Neurospora crassa OR74A: one gene and its partner. The protein of the gene in region 2 interacts with the protein of the main gene of each other region in a pairwise test. Links are inferred from orthologs where the notes say so. Each region holds a gene or a part of one and is shown on either strand. Other genes may lie near its edges.

Region 1 (4,417 bases), on a different chromosome or scaffold from region 2:
GAGTATGACTCGAAGAGAAAGGGGTTGAAGAGACAATTGGGTGGATGTGAGGCTTGAAAGTGCAAGAGGACACGGTTGACCAACTAATCACCCGGGCGCAAGGCGATGTACGGTATAGGAAGTTCGGGATGGCAGAGAGAGAGAAAAGAAGTGGTGAAGACTCCAATCGCAAGACACTTTGCTCGTTGAAGCCAGAGAGATGGTGTTTGGACCAAGGAGCCTGCACAATGGAGCTGCGATTGCCTTGTCCAGGATGCAGAATGACGCCTCAAAACTTTTTCTTTTTGGAGGACACGGGTTCGACACGTGGGGAGAGGGCTCTTTGGTTGGGATTGTTGGGGTTCGTCCTGACTGGAAGTGACTCACCTTCTGGTTGCGACGAAGCAAAAGACAGAGGAAGCAGAACCTACAAGAGGGAATGAAGTTAAGAAGAGGAGGAAAGAGATTGAGGGCTTGGAAGGAGCGGAGTTTATGTGAAAGAAAACGGGGGAGGTGGGTGTGGGAGTATTTGAGGAATTTTGCATCCAGTCGCGGACCCTGATGGAAAGGAGGCCGGGTTTCGGGCGCCAGAGACGGGATGGCGGGGTAACGAGAAACTTTCAATTCCGAATTGGTGTACAAAATAACAAATTCTGCCAGGGCTACTAGGGAAGAAAGATGCACGAGCTGGGCGGGGCTCCCCTACGATGGCGAATAATGCGCGGGGATCACGGCAAGAAGAACGGACCATCTCCATTTTACGCTTTCACGTGTAGGCGTCTAGCGTCTCCGGCTGGCCATGATCAAGTGGCAGCAGGAGAGCGGGCAGAACGAATGGATCATTGATCTTAGACTCTGGCATATCAGGCTGAGTGGTGAACCCAAGTGCACTCTATAGGTAGACGTCCGATATCGTGAACATGATCCAGCCGTCTGGATAAAGATAACCTCGAGATCGTTCTTTCTGTTGGAGTGCAGGAACTCAATCTCATCTGAAGTTCTTCAACATCTGCAACGGCACGCAACCGCCCAGCGGCCGACGGTTCGGCCGACACCACATATTTTGTAGCGTGCCCCGGCCGGGTAATGGTGTAGTGTACATAACCTGTCAAAAGTCTGGATGTGACCTTGGACCCGCTTTTTGAGAGAAGGAGAAATTGCGCAATCGCAGCCCTCTGGTCGTGCAACAAGTGGAAGGGTGGTGCCTTTTGGGTACCTTTGTTTGCCCTGCCAGCTCTGCTCGCGCATCGCTCTCATGGAAGCACACCGCATTTGACGCCATTCGTTGACATGATGTGACCCCAGTGGGGCACCTAGGTACAATTGTGTACCTCTACATAGTAGATGCCGCAAAAAAATTATCAAGGCGCGCTTACACCGGCAGGCATGTCTCGTGGCAATCGTGCCTGCAGCAGCGGCAACGCTATCAGGGCAGTATCCGTACTTATCAGGCAGTAGAAAGTTTGGCGATCGAGTCCGGGTATCGAGGCAACCTTTTCGTCACCAGTCGCATCATTTCGCATTGACGGGATTTTCCTTGTCACACCTGTACAGCACACAGCATCCGTTCCGAGCCCGAATAGACATCAACGACAATCCCACAAAGCTTCGTCCACACACCAAGATCCAGGTATCCAATCCTTTCGCCAGATCACCCCGCCGTATCACCGTCGCGCATCCGTCCAGTTGGGCTGCAGCTCAGAGTTGACAAGCAACTCCTCTCCACCGTTCATATATACGCACATCCTAGACGTCGGTGCATCATCGCGGCCATGAGCAAGTACGGTGTGATGGTGATGGGCCCCGCGGGGGCGGGAAAGGTAGGCTAGGCTCTAGTTAACGGCAATTCCCCATCTGCGCTTTCCACTGGTTCTCTAACGGCTCGGTGTGCCAGTCCACCTTTTGTGCATCGCTCATCACACATCTTCAACTTAACCGGCGCTCTGCTTTCTACGTGAACCTCGATCCCGCCGCCGAATCATTCGAACACACGCCCGATCTCGACATCAAGGACCTGATATCTCTAGAAGATGTGATGGACGAGATGAAGCTCGGCCCCAACGGCGGCCTGATCTACTGCTTCGAGTTCCTCATGGAGAACCTCGACTTCCTGACCGAGGCGCTGGACTCGCTGACCGAGGAGTACCTCATTATCTTTGATATGCCGGGTCAGATCGAGCTTTACACGCATATTCCAATCCTTCCTACCCTTGTCAAGTTCCTCACAACACCCGGCGCCCTGGACATTCGTTTGTGCGCTGCATACCTGCTGGAAGCTACCTTTGTCGTCGATCGTGCCAAATACTTTGCAGGTTCCCTGAGCGCCATGAGCGCCATGATCATGCTGGAAGTCCCGCATATCAACATTCTCAGCAAGATGGATCTGGTCAAGAACCAAGTAAGGAAGAAGGACCTCAAGAAGTTTATAACTCCGGATACCTCGTTGTTGCTTGACGATCCAGCGGACCTTGCCAGGAGGAAGGCGGGCGAGGACATCTCGGATGACCAGTACGCCGATCCCCAGGATAAGAACGCCATGCTGTCTGGCGCGACGTTCAAGCGCCTCAACACGGCTGTCGCGCAACTGCTTGAAACCTTCAGCATGGTCAGCTACCTCAAGCTGGATTCCACCGACGAGGACAGTGTTGGGGCAATTCTGAGCTACATTGATGACTGCATACAATACCACGAAGCACAAGAACCACGGGAGCTGAAGGACGAAGAGTTTGACGAGGCTGAGGAATAGTTGGAAGAGGAATGATTCGAAGCTTGAGAATGAAGGGGTCTCCAGATTTTGACTGAATTACAAATGGACTCGTCATTACCATATGGGCAAAATGTATAGGGATTCTGCATAGCGACGGCGTCGGGGAAGAAGATACAAGTTTGGCTCACCGAAAAAGAATGGGATGGGGTACGGAAGCAAAGCAATAATGATCTATATGTTCTTTTCCCACTTGACTACCAAAGCCCTTAAAACAGTATTCCTAACGCAAGGTCACCGCCTGTAACATTCACGTCCTCGGTCCTTCGCACCTCCAAGGTCGCAGATCTCGAACATTGCCTGACAGGAAACGCCGTAACGCCATGGGATATGCGGTATTCCAACAGCCAGCCACCCTCCAACTTTTATCGTCGTATCATCGTGATTTCGTCCGTAAAGCCAAAAAAAAAAAATCCACCTCGTACTCTCCTCCGCGAGGCATCGATTCTCCATCTCTCCTTTTCAAGAGTGATCGTCTTCTTCATAGTCATCATCCAAGATATCTCCACCATCATCTTGATCTTCCATCGCTGCCTGCCCTTTCCGCTTCACCCTGACGCCCTCCCCTTATCCACCCTTGCCTCTTCCTTGCTATCCAACAACATATCTCCCGCTGCTTCTCGTTTAAGCGCGATCATACTTAGCATGACCCCTCGCCTTATCCTGCGCCTCATACCTCTGCCACTCGGTCATGAAGAAATTCCAAATGCCCAGTCCATACCCGCTCGCCCTGCCCAGCCAGAACGTCGCATCCCTCGCGCTCTGCTCCACTCCGCGCCTGTACACCCAGCTTGCGACCGCCGCCATGCCCGCCCAGAACACCAGCGTGAACGCAAGCCTGGTGAAAAACATGAGCACCCGTCGCATCCAGCTCAGAACCTGCAGCACCATGACCAGCAGCAACAGCACGCCGGCGAGAATGACCACGTCGGGGGAGGCGTAGATGTATGCCGTTAGCCGCTCGACAAGCGGCTGCATGATCGGGATGAGAGTGGAGATGAAGGCTTCGATTGTTGACATTATGTGCCGCTTGAGAGATTGGATGGCGGAGTCGGGCGAGAGGAGGTGCTGACGGGCGAGGGAGAGGTAGGGGTCTGGGAGGACGCCTATGATGAGAAGAAGAAGAAGAGGATGGTAGGTTAGCGGACGGGATGCATCACAGAAAGAGGGAGGAAGGTGACGGGTTTTATGATGAGGTAAAAGCAAAAGATGTCCACGTCAAAGTGTGAATCGCAACGTGGCGCTTTGGGCTCTTTTGCATTCTTTTTGGGCTGGCATGCTGGTGAAGACTGGGGAAGTTCGGGGAGTGCGACAGGTTGGCGCAAGACTTACCAGTAAGAAGCTGGAGAGCCCATTCGATGGGGAGGTTGAACGGATCCATAGTGTTTGACGATGATCTAGCCGTGGCCTGTAGAGATTGGTGGGTAGTCGCGCGAAGCAAGGAGGTCTTATATAAAATTCTGGTGAGGAAGCAAGCGAAGATGTGAAATGCGATTTGCGATTGCGGTATCTGTTGTGTTGTTTTGGAAGGGAAACGTGGTGGGGTAGTTGTGGTGCGAAGTGAAAAAGAACCAGTGGAGCGACGGCGATGTTAGCGATTCCGTGGAGGCGGGGGGGCTTTATCTTATCAACTGACCAGGCAACGGAGTGTGGGGGCTTGGGTCACCGTTTGGG
Region 2 (5,161 bases):
ACTTGACCGGTGTTGACTGGGAGTAGCAGATAGCGGTCGCGGGATCTGGTAGGGAATACCGGGAGACTGAGGTGGTGTACCAGAGGCCGATGAGCTGGCAAATGTGGGCGAAAACTGAGGGCCCGGAGAAGCCACCGCCGGTCGTCGGACTGTATTCCTCTTGTCGGCCGGGTTGAACGTCTTCAGCTTTCCGTCCTCGATCATAGCCTGAAGCACGCCAGCATCCAGTAACTCAGCCTTCTTGATGATGCGTCTCACCATTTCCCCACCCGCCTTCTTCATTTGCGACTTGACAAAGCTCATGACAGTGCGACTGCACTTGATCTCAATATCCTCACGGAGATATAACCCATCCGACGGTGCCCCAAGAGCTGATAACCCCATCTCAAGTGGCTCTGGAGGCTCAAAGTTTGGTTGATTACCGGCGATGCGATAGGTGTTGCGAAGGTCAACGTTCATGGGGGCGTATATGTGAGTCTGAAGACCCCACGGCATGTCGTGAAAGCAGCCATTGAACTTGATGGTTGTAGCCCCCATCCTCCCAATTCCAGGCAGAATCGTGACTCGTTCGGTGATCTCATACCATGTCGCATAATACTCGTCTGTTTCTGCATCCTGGGGGGCCGCGATGGGCTTGTGGTCGAGGACAAGAGGGTTAAGAGTAATGACTTCAGAATGAGAATGAAGGATGTCGATGGCCAACTGTCGTGGAATGAAGCCCGGGATGGGCGTGATAACGGTGAAGGCTTCCTTCTTGCGCAACATGGTGGACATTGGATGCTGTGGGTAGATATGTAACACCGATAAATGAAAGTTTATTCACCTCTATAGAGGTGTGGGCAGGGTATAGTAGCCGATCTCCGAAGCCTGGATTTGATGAGTCGCTGGAATTTGGCCCAAGTCGGATGATGAATCTGGCCCTGGTGTGGGACGAGAGACGAAACAAGAGAGGAAGTGGGAGGGAGAGAATTCAAACGGATCTTGGGGGTCAGCTTGGAGTATAATGGATAGAACGTGGTAGAGGTAGGTTGGTAGGGCTGAGTATCATGAGGGGCAGCCTGTGGATGGCCGCTTGGTTCCCGGCCACGCTGCCTCCTGGTAGTGCCGAACAGACGGATCTTGCCATTACGTTTGTGGCTTATTGGACCAACCCAGCTCCCATCACCCACCATTTTGAAGAGAATTTTGACGCAATAAGAGGCCACCGGCTGCGCCCACTCCCCAGCGCGGGACCACCGACCATACGCTTAGCATGGGTTTAGCGGTCATTGGCATTGGTGAATCGCCCCCGCCAGCATCCTGCCTATAGTTCCTGACCTTTTCCGAAGATGACGTGAGACGCCTTTTCTCCCATCGCTTATCCCGGTCTCGTTCAGCAGTATCAAATTGCCACTCGACGACTCCCCGAATTGTCCAAAAAGCATCCGTATCCGGCTTCATTGCTAGGCGTGAAAGGATTAGTTGAAACTGGACAAGTGGACAGACTTCATTGAACAATAGCCTGTGAGGTCGATGAAGCCTTCGGGGCTTGTCTGCCCGCGGCAAGTGCTATGCCATCCAGCCGTTGAGATCCTAAAATATCCAGGCACCCATAATACCGGGGTATAACTTGAAGAGCGGGACCGCCAAGTTACTAGGTCGAGTGTCGACTAGCTACTGCGGCGGTTGAGGGCTGTGGTATTCGCGGATTAACAGCGGCTCGGCTGAAAACAAGAAGCTGTCAAGCAGGCCATATGGGCTTTTGATATAGGCATGATAACAGGGTATAGGTCGCCAACTGATTTAGTTCCAAATTGGTAAAAAGATGATGGATGAGATGCGAGCCGGCCAGATATGGATTGGATGTCGAGGAACATGAAGGCGTAGGTAGTTGGAAGATGAATGGGTGAGAGGATGAAAAGAGACCAATGTCGAGGTTTCAGTCATTTCACTTTGGGGAAAACAAAATGCCAAGCCTTACCTACCCTTCACCCCACCCATGCCTTGATGGATGGAACCTTTCCGCCCGCTACGCCAGGCGATCAATGGACTTTGGTTTTTTTTTGTTTTTTTTTTTCTCTTGCGGTGTTGCCCCTCTGTGGCCCTCGGACATTCACTCCGTCGCAACCACCTATGACCATCCCTACAGCAGTGACCCCGCCGCTTACGACATCCGTGAAACTTTCTTCCCGAGACTCATTACAACACCATCTCTGCGCAAACTGAAATCTGCAACAACTTTGATTTTATCCGACAGATAACACAGAGATCACCAAACGATCTTCCACGCACCCGTGCACAGCTGTCGCACCATGGCTTCGACTTCGGCATCGTCTGCCGCCAAGGCTGACCAGCCTGTTGCCATCGTCTGCGTTGGCATGGCAGGTAGGTCTACGCATGCTCATGTTCTGTGCTTTTCCCAACCGCAAGCGGAATCATCCAGCTGACCATGTTCCCCAGGATCCGGCAAGACAACCTTTATGCAACAGATCAATGCCCATCTCCACGGAAAGAAGGAGCCTCCTTATGTCATCAACCTCGACCCAGCAGTCACCCACTCGCCCTTCGAGAGCAACATTGACATCCGCGACTCGGTCAACTACAAGGAGGTGATGAAGCAGTACAACCTCGGCCCCAACGGCGGCATTCTCACATCGCTGAACCTCTTTGCCACCAAAGTCGACCAGGTTCTCGGCCTGCTCGAGAAGCGCACGGCGCCCAAGCCCGACGACCCGACGCACACGCCCATCAAGCACATTCTCGTCGACACGCCGGGCCAGATCGAGGTGTTCGTCTGGTCCGCGTCGGGCCAGATTCTCCTTGAGTCGCTCGCCTCATCCTTCCCCACCGTCATCGCCTACATCATCGACACCCCCCGGACGAGCTCGACGTCGACCTTCATGAGCAACATGCTGTACGCCTGCAGTATCCTTTACAAGACCAAGCTGCCCATGATTCTGGTCTTCAACAAGTCGGACGTTAAGGACCCGGCTTTTGCAAAGGAGTGGATGACCGACTATGATGCGTTCCAGGCTGCGCTGCAGGAGGACGAGACCAACAACGCGTTTGGCGGAGCGGAGGGCAGCGGCGATGGCATGGGCTCGGGCAGCGGATACATGGGCTCGCTGTTGAACAGCATGAGTCTGATGTTGGAGGAGTTTTACGCACATCTGAACGTGGTGGGCGTCAGTTCGCTGTACGGGACGGGCATTGACGAGTTCTTTGCCGCGGTTCAGGAGAAGGCAGAGGAGTTCAAGCGCGATTACCAGCCTGAGCTCGAGAGGAGGCGCGAAGAAAGGGAGGAGAACAAGAAGAAGGCGCGGGAGAGGGAACTCAACAAAATGATGAAGGGAATGTCGATGGGCGACGCGGCGGGCGACGTCACAGTGGGTGACGTCAATGATAAAGAGGCCCCCGAGCCGTTGAGCACGGACGAGGAGAGCAGCGACGAGGAATATGGTGACGATCCCAACGACGAGTATGACCGCGAGGGATTGCAGGCGAGGTACGCCGCTGCCATGCAGGGCGAGGATGATTCGGTTTTGGCCGACGCAAGTTTTGCAAAGTACCTCCACAGCCAGAGGTGATGAGATTGGCCATTGGTAAGGAAAGGATTTATGGAGCAGTGTTGGCAAGACAAGTGATCGAGAGGGAAGGAGATTTAGCATACAACCGGCGTTTTCAGAGTGATACCATACCAATATTCTATATGGCAAAAAACATGATCAATAATGAGAAGCATCACAGAACGGATCCATCTGATGGTGATAGGTGATGATGACGATGATGAAAAGCAATGCTTTCTTTGTATAAATTCCCACAAGTCTACCGATATTTCCCAGAACGCCGCCATCATGATATTGTGATGAATATGATATCTCCCTTCTTCTGATCACAACAAGCCGTAGGTTCAAGGCTGGGCCATGCTAAGCCACCGCTAATGGTGCAAAATCACACCAAGATATCGACGGTTCGAGTCTCCTACGGTCCCAGCTCCCCTCGACAAATGTTCCCGTTGCCTCCAAGGCTGACTCGGCTCCCGTCCTTGGGCATCAGGACATCCCGGCCGGTCCAAATACGATGAAAACTTCAGCCCGATACGGCATCGAGGAAGAGCGACCCCTTTCTACACCTCCTTTGTTGGCCCCAAGTCGAACAAAGTCGAATAAGAAACCATTTACCGAGCCTCGAACTGAACCATTCTATTACCCCCAGACCGTCGTTAGCATAAGATTTTTCTCTCCCACCTTCTCAGAATCTTCCACCGGGTAAGCCCAAAGAAAACGTACCTCTTGGTGCGCTCCTTATACAAAACACGCGCACCGCACTTCTGGCAACGGATAGGAGCGCCCTTCTCGAGCGGCACGCGGACCGCGCAGTCGCCGCAAGTGTACCACATGACGCTGCTGCCACCGCTGTTGCCGTCGTTGTTAGAGGCACCGGTGGTGAAGCCCTGGGAGTTGGGGACCTGGTATTGCTCGCGGGAAGACATCTTGGTTGTTTGTGTTGTGTTGAGGGTGGTGTGGTATTTGTGGTTTGGGTTTGTTTGTCGTCGGGTTTGCTCGGATAAATTGGATGACGGTTATGCAACGTGTAAGATTGTCTTTGTGTTGAGGCGACGACAAATCGATGTTATGCGATTTATAGCGATATGCGACGATGATGTCGTTCGGTTGATGATGATGATGATGTTGAATATTTACCGGTGGAGTGGTTTGCGACGGACGAGAGGGACGGAGCGCTACCTATACAGGCGACTGAGTTTCAACTGGACGCGAACAACGAAAGGTAAAAAAAGGCGGGACGCTGAGGCAGAAAGTTCCAGACTTTGACAAAGGGTGACAGAAGCAGGCGGCGTTCGGACTTTGCGAATGCAAGTTACCCCTGTCATATCATGATAAATTCTCCACTCTTCTGTGGGTAGCTGTCAGCGCGGCAGGCAATTCCCCCACGTTTTCGGCGGAGTTTGGAGGCCGAGGTTGTTCGCGGCAGCCCTGGCGCCTCACCACTGCACACCACCGGGTCGATGCCCGCCGGCAAGCGGAGGTAAGACAGGGACGGGGAACGGGCCCGGTGCTTCACTTGTGTTTGGCTTTGGGGTCTTTTCAGATGCCGCCCCGGACCTCTCGTCCCGTACTTCACTGAGCTACTATTTAGTCATCAGCTAGAAATCATCATACAA

What was found.
Region 1: the proteins of NCU04507 (region 2) and NCU02658 interact in a two-hybrid assay, tested with the Saccharomyces cerevisiae proteins (3 studies listed by BioGRID). The link is inferred for Neurospora crassa OR74A from reciprocal best matches to the Saccharomyces cerevisiae genes NPA3 and GPN3.

The regions. Positions count from the first base shown.
Region 1 is NC_026501.1:3,093,871-3,098,287, forward strand, and holds NCU02658 (ATP binding protein), read left to right. Parts: upstream 1-1,427; 5' UTR 1,428-1,751; coding exon 1,752-1,799; intron 1,800-1,873; coding exon 1,874-2,725; 3' UTR 2,726-2,984; downstream 2,985-4,417. Other genes in the region: NCU02659 (hypothetical protein), read right to left, coding at 3,368-3,849, 4,076-4,124. UniProt on the Saccharomyces cerevisiae protein: Small GTPase required for proper nuclear localization of RNA polymerase II and III (RNAPII and RNAPIII). May act at an RNAP assembly step prior to nuclear import. Promotes sister chromatid separation during anaphase.
Region 2 is NC_026504.1:3,141,756-3,146,916, reverse strand, and holds NCU04507 (ATP binding protein), read left to right. Parts: upstream 1-2,044; 5' UTR 2,045-2,291; coding exon 2,292-2,364; intron 2,365-2,439; coding exon 2,440-3,566; 3' UTR 3,567-3,736; downstream 3,737-5,161. Other genes in the region: NCU04506 (hypothetical protein), read right to left, coding at 1-774; NCU04508 (hypothetical protein), read right to left, coding at 4,157-4,181, 4,269-4,471. UniProt on the Saccharomyces cerevisiae protein: Small GTPase required for proper nuclear import of RNA polymerase II (RNAPII). May act at an RNAP assembly step prior to nuclear import. Promotes sister chromatid separation during anaphase.